3 linked regions of the Saccharomyces cerevisiae S288C genome follow. The gene in region 2 interacts genetically with the main gene of each other region. Each region holds a gene or a part of one and is shown on either strand. Other genes may lie near its edges. The genes, in order: ALG11, MNN1 and OCH1.

The links.
Region 1: of MNN1 (region 2) and ALG11, changing one enhances a phenotype caused by changing the other (phenotypic enhancement), as found in Saccharomyces cerevisiae (one study listed by BioGRID).
Region 3: of MNN1 (region 2) and OCH1, changing one enhances a phenotype caused by changing the other (phenotypic enhancement), as found in Saccharomyces cerevisiae (2 studies listed by BioGRID).

What each region holds. Positions count from the first base shown.
Region 1 is NC_001146.8:536,454-540,431, forward strand, and holds ALG11 (alpha-1,2-mannosyltransferase ALG11), read left to right. Parts: upstream 1-1,719; coding exon 1,720-3,366; downstream 3,367-3,978. Other genes in the region: COPII subunit SFB2, read right to left, coding at 1-1,458; SLM2 (phosphatidylinositol 4,5-bisphosphate-binding protein), read right to left, coding at 3,458-3,978.
Region 2 is NC_001137.3:151,568-156,311, forward strand, and holds MNN1 (alpha-1,3-mannosyltransferase MNN1), read left to right. Parts: upstream 1-1,952; coding exon 1,953-4,241; downstream 4,242-4,744. UniProt on the Saccharomyces cerevisiae protein: Responsible for addition of the terminal mannose residues to the outer chain of core N-linked polysaccharides and to O-linked mannotriose. Implicated in late Golgi modifications.
Region 3 is NC_001139.9:424,862-428,663, forward strand, and holds OCH1 (initiation-specific alpha-1,6-mannosyltransferase), read right to left. Parts: upstream 1,944-3,802; coding exon 501-1,943; downstream 1-500. Other genes in the region: YGL039W (carbonyl reductase (NADPH-dependent)), read left to right, coding at 1-146; PNC1 (nicotinamidase), read right to left, coding at 2,436-3,086; VIR1 (Vir1p), read left to right, coding at 3,740-3,802. UniProt on the Saccharomyces cerevisiae protein: Mannosyltransferase involved in outer chain elongation of asparagine-linked oligosaccharides of the type Man(9)GlcNAc(2). Adds the first alpha-1,6-mannose to the Man(8)GlcNAc(2) and Man(9)GlcNAc(2), but not Man(5)GlcNAc(2), endoplasmic reticulum intermediates.

The sequences.
Region 1 (3,978 bases), on a different chromosome or scaffold from region 2:
ATTAAAACCAGGATAAAAATGTGTTTGACCACCAGAAAAACGGCCCAGGTGAGATAGAGTGGCAACGTCCATGTAGTCCTCTGATGCCAGAAACATGTCCACTGTTATTTGTAGTTTATTACACTCAATTGTGAATGTTTTATAAAAGGAATCTTTACACGACAGTAGCTGAGAGCTTTCTTTTGGTGTGTTTAATATGCCCTGTTCACTTCTTTTTTTCAATTTCCCGATGCCAGTATTTGGTAAAGTTGATGAAATGACTTCAACTTTGCCTCCAGTGCTTTTTATCAAATTTGACGCAGCTTTTAGGGCAGGTCCAAGTGCAAACTTGCTACTGTGTGTGTCTTGAAAAATTTCAGGTATCTTTTTCAACAATGTTTCCAGATTATTTTTACAATATTTTAGTGGAACTACTAATTCATCACTCGGCATTGGTAAAAATGGTTCATCCAAATCGCCAATATCAAACATTTGAATTGTTTCTGAATTATCAACGTCTTCCTCTTCCTCGTCTTCATCTTCTTCTTCACCATCTGATTCTTCATCATCCTCATCCGATACTTCATAATCATCATCCAAAGGAACGTAAAAATAATGAAGGCTATGATCAACACATATAATAGCAATTCTGGTCCTTCCATCATGATTTGGTAGAAATTCTATGTTTTCTAAAATGGTTCTGGCAGAAGTAGCCAATAAACCATTTTTGACAGCGTTTTGAGAAACATCTAAAAGAAATACATAAACAGATGGTGGGGGTTCCCTAACAGAATATTCTACGGGAGCCAAGTAATCCACGACAGAGTTTTTAATTTCGTTTCTTTCATATCTGTTGATTGGAGCGCCTTGTAAGTTCTGATCAAACCCAAATGGGACATCATTTTTGAAACGGCATATATTACATTGCCATTTTCTCCCTTGGTTAATGAAAACGACAAAAGGGTTCATATATGAACGACAACGGCGACAGCGGACAATGACTCCGTCAGTATTTAGCGGTACTTGGTTGTCTGAATCTTGCAAATGCAAATATGGTCTAATAACAATGGCAAATGGTAACTTCGTTTTCTTCAGCAGAGAGTTTGTTTTTGGCACCGCTTTCAAAGTAGATCTGACGTACTGGTATGGAACATTTGAATATTCGGATGGAGTCACAATGTTATCCTGAGAAATGGTGATTGGAAGAGGTGGTAAAGACAGGTCACGGATTGGCGGAGGTAATTCTGTAAACAAATCCACAGGGTATAGTTGATTGACCACTTTCCCAGAACCAGGAAACTGTTGATTTTGAGCTAGCTGTGTAAATGAGTTAGCCCTATTGTTCAATTGTAGGTTGCCCATTGCATAAGCTGTTTGGTCGATTTGTTGTTGAGACTGCTGTTGCTCTGCAACTATTGGCATACTTGCAATGTATGGCACCTGAGCTTGAGGGTACACCCTCTTCTTATGATGAGACATTATTCACTGCAGCTGTCGATCATTAATGGAAGAAGGTTCATCAACCAAGCACACTGCAAATGAAGGGTTAGATGAAGAGTTCGACGAAGACCCTTTTAACTGACGTATCATTCATCGTTGTCATCGCTACATCTATGTCCTTCGGGTAAGCTAAACAAAAAGTGAAAAGTTCAATAAATAATAAGATTGAGAGGTAAGTGAAGTGAAGATAGATGTTAGTATCCAAGTGTGACCAACATGTTCAGGTGATTGCAGGCGAAAATGGGCAGTGCTTGGACAAACTACAATTTTGAAGAGGTTAAGTCTCATTTTGGGTTCAAAAAATATGTTGTATCATCTTTAGTACTAGTGTATGGACTAATTAAGGTTCTCACGTGGATCTTCCGTCAATGGGTGTATTCCAGCTTGAATCCGTTCTCCAAAAAATCTTCATTACTGAACAGAGCAGTTGCCTCCTGTGGTGAGAAGAATGTGAAAGTTTTTGGTTTTTTTCATCCGTATTGTAATGCTGGTGGTGGTGGGGAAAAAGTGCTCTGGAAAGCTGTAGATATCACTTTGAGAAAAGATGCTAAGAACGTTATTGTCATTTATTCAGGGGATTTTGTGAATGGAGAGAATGTTACTCCGGAGAATATTCTAAATAATGTGAAAGCGAAGTTCGATTACGACTTGGATTCGGATAGAATATTTTTCATTTCATTGAAGCTAAGATACTTGGTGGATTCTTCAACATGGAAGCATTTCACGTTGATTGGACAAGCAATTGGATCAATGATTCTCGCATTTGAATCCATTATTCAGTGTCCACCTGATATATGGATTGATACAATGGGGTACCCTTTCAGCTATCCTATTATTGCTAGGTTTTTGAGGAGAATTCCTATCGTCACATATACGCATTATCCGATAATGTCAAAAGACATGTTAAATAAGCTGTTCAAAATGCCCAAGAAGGGTATCAAAGTTTACGGTAAAATATTATACTGGAAAGTTTTTATGTTAATTTATCAATCCATTGGTTCTAAAATTGATATTGTAATCACAAACTCAACATGGACAAATAACCACATAAAGCAAATTTGGCAATCCAATACGTGTAAAATTATATATCCTCCATGCTCTACTGAGAAATTAGTAGATTGGAAGCAAAAGTTTGGTACTGCAAAGGGTGAGAGATTAAATCAAGCAATTGTGTTGGCACAATTTCGTCCTGAGAAACGTCATAAGTTAATCATTGAGTCCTTTGCAACTTTCTTGAAAAATTTACCGGATTCTGTATCGCCAATTAAATTGATAATGGCGGGGTCCACTAGATCCAAGCAAGATGAAAATTATGTTAAAAGTTTACAAGACTGGTCAGAAAATGTATTAAAAATTCCTAAACATTTGATATCATTCGAAAAAAATCTGCCCTTCGATAAGATTGAAATATTACTAAACAAATCTACTTTCGGTGTTAATGCCATGTGGAATGAGCACTTTGGAATTGCAGTTGTAGAGTATATGGCTTCCGGTTTGATCCCCATAGTTCATGCCTCGGCGGGCCCATTGTTAGATATAGTTACTCCATGGGATGCCAACGGGAATATCGGAAAAGCTCCACCACAATGGGAGTTACAAAAGAAATATTTTGCAAAACTCGAAGATGATGGTGAAACTACTGGATTTTTCTTTAAAGAGCCGAGTGATCCTGATTATAACACAACCAAAGATCCTCTGAGATACCCTAATTTGTCCGACCTTTTCTTACAAATTACGAAACTGGACTATGACTGCCTAAGGGTGATGGGCGCAAGAAACCAGCAGTATTCATTGTATAAATTCTCTGATTTGAAGTTTGATAAAGATTGGGAAAACTTTGTACTGAATCCTATTTGTAAATTATTAGAAGAGGAGGAAAGGGGCTGATGTTTTTTGAAAATAGAAGCCTTGTTTATGAGAAAACTTATACATAATATTACATACAAACTAGAGCATTACTATATAATTAACTTACTTGTCACAGCTGATTGCTTTTTCTAGGGGAATCTACATTTTCAATGTAAAATTCAGGAACCCTATTCTGAATTTGTGAATCATTCGTTTCCGGTATCGATGACGTGGTGTTAGTGATTGTCAAATTGTCTAATTTTGGAATGGAATTCAAGGGAAAATTGCTACTACTCACATCATCGTATCTCGTATGTTGCTCATTAGTTACCTGGGGGGTCACGCTCTCCGTGGTGTTTTCATTACTCTTGGCTTTTTCTTTAGACAGTTTGGCAACTTTACTCACATATTTGCATTTGTCGTCATAGTTGGGCAAACTTGATAAGGCTTTGATATTTCCAAACCATTCTATCATATCGTCATAAGAGTCTACTTTGAATACCCAGTTGTGACCCCTATGTATTAGTCCGTTAGAATTCGTACGCAATATAAACTTGTTCTTGCCCTGCTCTGAGTTGGATTTCGTCTTTTTGGAATGCTCAGTGACAGTACATTCCACTAATGGTATTGACATTAACGGTGTGGAAAATT
Region 2 (4,744 bases):
AATATTATAAACTAAAAACTATCATATTAATAATATACCTCCTAGCACTTCGTAATGTTTCTGTCATTGAATGGCGAGAACATAATTTTAAAGAATCAACACCTTAAATTGTTAACCTTAACAAATGAAGTAAATTCAAATATTTACTCTTGAATTCTTTTTGCTTTAACTAACACATTGAAATATCAAATTAGTCCACTTTTCTTCCTTGTTGAATGGGTTTCTTCATTAACAGGGGAACGCTTGCCTACCATCAAGCCCATTCAATGCAGATGTGATTAATTGGTAAACAAAGGGCCAAGCAAAAATACATCTCTCCTACATGCTACATAAGTCCGAGATATGTTTTATTTAAGAACTATGAATCTGTAAATGACTGATTCAATATTAAACTAAAATTTCTATGAAACATCAAATTAATCACGTGCTTTTTAAAAAATATAAATTTAATTTCATTTTCTATTTCAATATTTATTAAATAAAAAATTTGAAAAATATATAAAAATTGTAGCAGTATTAGATTTCCGAAAAGAAAAAAAGGTTTCAAGAAAAGGAAAAGAAAAACTAAACGTAGTATAAAGTCTTGTTTAGTGCAAGCCACTGTTGGCGTTTCAACTAAACTATTCCTTAAAAATAAAGTACAATGTTACTGCTAAACAATGTTGAAGGTGAGCTTAAGACAGTAAATCAAGGAAATGCGGTATAATTCCTGCTGACAAAGCCGCACATAAATAGCAGTTGTTAGCTATAAGGAGATTTTTAGCTACGAACATGGTTGTAATTCTCTTTATCCTGATTACCTTCAAGATTAAGAAAAAAACAACCATGGTAACTACTTTGGCTCAAAGTCAAACAAAACTTTTACCATTTCACGGTACACGTTTCCGATAAAATATCACTAGCTATTCAATGTCTGTATTCATCGATAAGCCAGAGTACGACGTACAAAAAATAACGTAAATGCATATCCTGCATCAAGAAAGAACCCTTATGGACGAACAACGAAAGAGATCTAAATTTAGAAGACAGCAAGACTAACCATTTGATAGCGTAGTAAGGCTTATCTAGAAATGTTGGACAGATAGGAAGAGAAAGTATAATAATGGTGTATGGTAGATGACTCTATAATCGTGGTCGGAACGTGCAATATATGAGAACGATGAATGCATATACATATGTCGCGACTCCTTTTTTTCCATTATAGCGGCATCGCTTTATTTCGCGTTTTAATTCATTTTCTTTTTTCTTCATTTCTTTCTGCATATGCAAACGCGGCAAGAAGTGCCCACGGATCCGAAGAAAACCTAATACATTGAAGTTTCTCTCCCTGAGATAGGAACTCTCTCTTCTGCGTCAGAAAAAAAAAAAAGTACTCTTTCTGCATATATTGCTCACTACTGACTCACTGATCCTTTTACGAATAGTTGGGCAACACCTATTAAGTTGTAAAACAATCGCGAAAAAAAAAAGAAAACAACCAAGGCATCCCACTTTTCGAACCCTGGCGCTCGGAAGACTTAATCATTGCGAGGTCTCAATTGGCCGGACCGCCACCATGCAGAAAAATGGTGGAAAGTGCGTGCGCGTTTCTCGTGCCACGTGCTTTTAACCTAAATAGGATACAAACTATCGGCTTATCTTTAGACACGCTCTCGCAGAACGATGAGCTACTGACATTTTGAGTTGATATTCAACCTTTTAAGGTATCTCAGAATGAGGCTCCGGCGCCACCGCAAAGTCTACCTTTTCTTCTTTAAGCCTTGAGTTTCTTCTTTTGCGAAAACGTTGCAATGTATTAGGCAAGATTATATTAAGGAGGTATTATAAAAAGGACTCATAAGTGAAATAAATAATATTCGTAATGCTAAATGTCCTGGTCTTGCTTCGTACTCTCGAAAAACGTAATCTTGCGGTATTTAACGCTAGTTTAAGAAAGTGTTACTGTGTATTAAATGTTGGCACTCCGGAGATTTATATTAAACCAAAGGTCTTTGAGATCGTGTACCATACCGATTCTAGTCGGAGCCTTGATCATTATTCTCGTGCTATTCCAACTAGTTACCCACCGAAATGATGCGCTTATACGATCAAGCAATGTAAACAGTACAAACAAGAAAACATTGAAAGATGCAGATCCTAAGGTTCTTATTGAAGCCTTCGGCTCTCCTGAGGTCGACCCAGTGGATACAATTCCAGTATCGCCACTAGAATTAGTTCCATTTTATGACCAGTCTATAGATACTAAAAGGAGTTCTAGTTGGCTAATCAATAAGAAGGGCTATTATAAGCATTTCAACGAATTAAGCTTAACTGATAGATGTAAATTTTATTTCCGGACACTGTATACGCTAGACGATGAATGGACTAATAGTGTGAAGAAACTGGAGTACAGCATAAATGATAATGAAGGAGTTGACGAAGGTAAAGATGCGAATGGAAATCCAATGGATGAGAAATCCGAGAGATTGTATCGCCGGAAATATGATATGTTCCAGGCATTTGAGAGAATAAGAGCCTATGATAGATGTTTTATGCAGGCCAATCCAGTTAATATTCAAGAAATTTTTCCGAAAAGTGATAAGATGTCGAAAGAGAGGGTTCAATCAAAATTAATCAAAACCTTAAATGCTACTTTCCCTAATTATGATCCAGACAATTTTAAGAAATACGATCAATTCGAATTCGAGCACAAAATGTTTCCGTTTATAAATAACTTTACCACAGAGACTTTTCATGAGATGGTTCCAAAAATCACATCACCTTTTGGAAAAGTATTAGAGCAAGGCTTCTTACCCAAGTTCGATCATAAAACTGGTAAAGTGCAGGAGTATTTCAAATATGAATACGATCCATCAAAAACCTTCTGGGCCAATTGGAGGGATATGAGCGCCAAAGTAGCCGGTCGTGGTATTGTATTGAGTTTAGGTTCCAACCAATTTCCATTAGCTGTCAAATTTATTGCTTCTTTGAGATTTGAAGGGAATACTTTACCGATCCAAGTGGTCTATAGAGGCGATGAGCTGTCGCAAGAACTAGTGGACAAACTTATATATGCTGCTAGAAGTCCTGATTTCAAACCAGTAGAAAATAATTACGATAATTCTACCAATGTTCCACAAGAAATTTGGTTCCTAGATGTTTCTAATACCATCCACCCTAAGTGGCGAGGTGACTTCGGTAGTTATAAAAGTAAATGGCTAGTGGTTCTACTCAATCTTTTGCAAGAATTTGTCTTTTTAGATATTGATGCTATTAGTTATGAAAAAATTGATAACTACTTCAAGACCACTGAATACCAGAAGACAGGAACTGTATTTTACAGGGAAAGGGCGCTAAGAGAAAACGTGAATGAAAGATGTATTGCTAGATATGAAACTCTATTGCCTAGAAACCTTGAATCTAAAAATTTCCAAAACTCACTTCTTATCGATCCTGATCATGCTCTCAACGAATGTGACAATACTTTAACTACAGAAGAGTACATATTCAAAGCTTTTTTTCATCATAGAAGGCAGCACCAGTTAGAAGCTGGTTTATTTGCTGTCGACAAATCAAAACACACGATCCCCCTAGTGCTTGCTGCTATGATTCATTTGGCCAAAAATACAGCCCACTGCACACATGGTGATAAAGAGAATTTCTGGTTAGGGTTCTTGGCCGCAGGTCACACTTATGCACTGCAGGGAGTGTATTCCGGAGCTATTGGTGATTATGTAAAGAAAACCGACTTGAACGGAAAGAGGCAAGAAGCTGCAGTCGAAATATGTTCCGGGCAAATAGCACATATGTCTACTGATAAGAAAACTTTACTTTGGGTTAACGGTGGAGGTACCTTTTGTAAACACGATAATGCTGCTAAAGATGATTGGAAAAAAGATGGCGACTTTAAGAAATTCAAAGATCAATTCAAGACTTTTGAAGAAATGGAAAAATATTATTACATAACTCCAATCAGCAGCAAATATGTCATCTTACCTGATCCAAAATCTGATGATTGGCATAGGGCCTCTGCAGGTGCTTGTGGTGGTTATATATGGTGTGCCACACATAAAACCCTCCTAAAGCCATATAGTTATAACCACAGAACCACTCACGGCGAATTAATAACTCTAGATGAGGAGCAGCGCCTACATATTGATGCTGTCAACACTGTTTGGTCACATGCTAATAAAGATAACACCAGATCATTCACTGAAGAAGAGATCAAGGAATTAGAAAATTCTAGACACGAACAAAGCTAGAATGCATTAACCAGTGTTTTTTCTAACTGTTTATGGTACTAGCCTTTGTGAACATGTATAGTAAAGCATATCGGACGTAGTTTTTTAAGAACCTTGTTTATTACACTTTGACGGTTAGGAGTTTTATTGGAATTACCTCACTTTGCACATAAACCTCTAGAAAAGAAGGTAATACACAATGCTTTCGATCGATTTGATAAATAATAGTAATTCATATTGGCATAATGCTACATATACGTATATATATTTTTTTTACTCTTTTAATAATCAAATTAACTTAATAATTGTTGAGAATCTGGTGAAGGTTTTCTTTTTCTTTTATTTTTTATTCTTTTTTTTCAGGCAAGTTTTATATTTCTCTTATTCAGAAAGTCTACGTCAAAGAGTCATTGAAAGCTTTTATCTTAGATAAAACTATTGGGCTTCCAACAGCATAAAAAGGCCGCTTAAGTACCTGTGATAATAGGTACTAATTATAATCGTAATGTTTACCTGATATTACT
Region 3 (3,802 bases), on a different chromosome or scaffold from region 2:
GTAGCGGCTCAACCTTTTTGACAAAAAACTGCTGCAAGTGCGACAACCGCAAAACCAAAAATTTATTAGGATTCCAATTTAATAAGTTCAGAGATTGCATTGTCGATACTGCCTCGCAATTACTAGAAGTTCAAAGTAAAAGCTAAAATTAAGCTTTCGAGAAAAACTTTCTTTTAACCCCTCTAATCTAAATATAAACATATAGCTTATAGAAATGAATGAATATTTTAAATAGTTACGGATACAAAGAGTTCATTATAGTGCGGGCAGTTAGTACGGTATCGATTTATCATTGGAGATCTGCAGTGTTACAGAAGCACTGCTCACCAGTTGTCTACGGAAGGACGTTGAGATAGTTTTACCACGTTTGAGCTAAAAGTTTCTACCACAAGAGCCTTTATTTGCACATGGCAGTGAATGCATGATTAAGGATATGAAGAAGAAAGGAATAACTAGGAATAAATTTTATTTAGAGAGGGTATGATGAAAGGAGAGCCTCGTTATTTATGACCTGCATTTTTATCAGCATCTTCTTTCCAGCTCCCGCTAAACATGTGCTTTACAAAAGCCATTTTGTCGTCACTAGACTGGGCGCCCATCTGCCCCACATCTGGTGAAAAACTTGTTATTGGTAGAACCATCACATCATCAACGATAACTGGTTCTTTCAAAAAAGAGAAGAATTCCCAGGGCATTGAATTTGACGATTGCAAAGACTCTGATATTTTCTTATAAAATTTTCTTGTTGATTTGGACAGCGTATCGTTATCAACATCTTTTGCTGGTGTGGTGGCACTCTCACTACCTTCTTCGTCGTTCTTGTTTAGGTTTGGGTTGATTAACAAGATATCGCTATTGTATCGGAGCACATTGTTCATGTATTCGAAAATAATGTCGGAGAAAATACCTGGACCCGTCCAATTCATTATATCTGAGCCATCAACATTTTTGTTATTTTTCAATTCGGAGTGTTTGTAGGTCTCATCATGACGTCTTTTGTGCCTATAGTTTACGTTGTAGTCTTCTTCAAATCTTGGATCAATCATTTCACTGACAGGAACTCCTGGGTTTTGTACGCTCGCCAAAGTCGTTGCAGTAATATTTAAGATCAATTCTCTTAGAATTGGGTGACCTGGTTTGGCTTGGATAGTCCATTGACAAAACTGGATCCTACGAGCATACCATTCACTCCAATCATCTCTGTCCGGATCTGCCTCAATGCCGATGACCAAACCTGGCTGGTGTGATATCTCATCACTTGAGAGAAGTGAGGGCTTTGAGTTCTTATAAGGAATAGGTTTATTCAAATCTATTATGTTGTTTAGCCATGACTTATTCTGAGAAGGCCATGAATCAATTGGCTTCAAAAGCATAGTATCCATATCTGAGTAAATACCACCTCTTGCAAATAATAATAGGTACCTTAAAAAATCTGCCTTTAGGATATTTCCAGGCATCAATTTAAACGCTTGGATGACTATCGGAACGGGTGCGTAAAGATTCTCCAAAAAAGGGATAATAGAATCATCCGAAATCAGAGAATATTGGTAATCCGGTGAATACGAACCAGACCATGTTTTTTGATAGGTTCTGAACGAAGAGGGAAAATTCTTATCATCTGCGCCGACTTTCCAGGTCTGCCACACCCTTTGCGGGATGGGGGCCTGAGAGTCGTAGGGAAACGCAAACGATAATTGATCACGTAAATTATGCAATTGATTTTTTTTCTTGTTAACTGTAATTTGTTTCTTCAAATTTATATCTTGTGAATGAGAAGTCGTAGGGAGAAGAGTTTGCTTGAAATCATCTTTGCTAGGGTAAAACTGAGAAAGCAGCCTTTTGTTTGACAAGTGAAATGTCAACAAAGAATAAATAAGAAGTACGGTTACGACTATTGTTTTTGATTTCCTTGTAGCGATCAGGTGGGACAACTTCCTAGACATGATCTCTTCTTTCTTTTACTTGCTTTCTTTTTCCAAATTGCTATTATTGCTCTTGAAATGAAAACGGAATCAAAGAACTAAAACAACCTATCCCTATTAAATATAAAAGGATGCAGATGGGGAGAGAGAATGTGGATTGGCGAGAAATAATGTCGGTATTCGAAGAAGGCAGAAATACTAAAGTGGCTACCAAGCTACCAAACTACCTTAATGCAGAAGTTTTGACGTTGCTGTCCCTGCAACGTGAAAAGTCCAAAAAGGCGCGTTTAGTTGAGGCCCAGCCAAATCTTTTCGCGGTGGGCCGGCCAAATAGTTTAAGCAATTTACCCAAAAAAGAATAAAGAGAGGCGTAAAGACGTTAGTTAATATTTTATTATTCCTTCTCCATATGTCGGAATTCGGTGTACATACATATATATAGATATTGTTATATAGATTTGTGCATTTGCAAGCCACCCTAGTTCATCAGGTTGAAGAAGTATTATTCAGCTCTTATTTATCCACGACATTGATGTTGTGGGCCTTCAACTCTTCCTTAACCTTATTGATGACTTCGGGATCATCGCTGATGGGTCTTGTGTAATCCAGCAGGACAGTGGTCTTATAACCTAGTTCTGCAGCGGAAATGGCGGTGGCTTTGACACAATACTCCAAAGCTACACCGACAATGTAAACCTCGTCTGTATGATGCTTTTCTAAGTACTTGTTCATGTCGGTCTTATGGAAGTTCCAGATGTCGTGGAAGGCGGAGTAGTATTCACGGTCAGTCAAGAAACCCTTGTCGACAATCTTAATATGCTTAGTGACCACTTGGTCCATTATTTGGTCAACCAATTGACTACCCCAGGTGTTTTTCACACAGTGTACGGGCCACAAAATACCCTCTTGCGTGGAATCATCGCCTGGCCTTGGAGAGTGGTAGGTGTATGTTGAATAGGGTTCTTTATCTTTATGGTTCTTTGCGAACGAAATATGTCTGGAAGGGTGCCAATCTCTGGTGACCACAATCCTGTGCCAGTCTCTATCAGCATCTTGCATCAAATCCGAGATAGGATTGATTAATTCCTCACCTTTTGGAACAGTCAAGGAACCTAAAGGTGAAATAAAATCATTTTGCATATCAACAACAATTAAAGTCTTCATTTTTGTACTGTATTTTATTCTTTCTAACAAAGATATAGATAATCGTAAAAGAAAGTTTTGTTTGAAGGTTTCCTCACCTATTGCATCCAACCAGGTACCAGTTAAGAGTACATTGTATATGAAAATATATATATGAGTAATATATATATATATAGTTTTATTAATAACTATTAGCACATCATAATCGTATCTGGAGACACATACATAGTGGGCCAAACGGAAACCCCTGCCCCTTGAAGAACTTTTTTTTCATAATTCACTTTTCCAGTACGTAACACCACGCGGCGCCCCTTTGTGGGGCCTGCCCCTTTTTTTTTTTCTTTCTTTTTTTTCGGAAACATTCCGCGAGATTTCGGCACGTCCCAAATGATATCGAGCTAACACGTATAAAGCGATAACGTATATAACGACGTATGATTTTAGCAACGGAAGACGTTAACAATGACATATGGATATTTATTTATATATATAATATAAAAATTTCATTACCCTGTGTGCCACCTTGATCCTTGACTTAATATATTTTTTTCTGCTTGGATCTCGGCGGCAGTTTTTTCTGTTTCATATAAGGAGGATCGTAGGGAAAGAGGAAAACAAAAGGCATAATTAACCAATAGCAACAATATAAGCAGTACAGAACCCTCACCACCAGAATGCAGAAGTGTGCTGGCCATGCACCACTGGTGACTGCAGCCTCGCGGGTCTCCCAAGACACC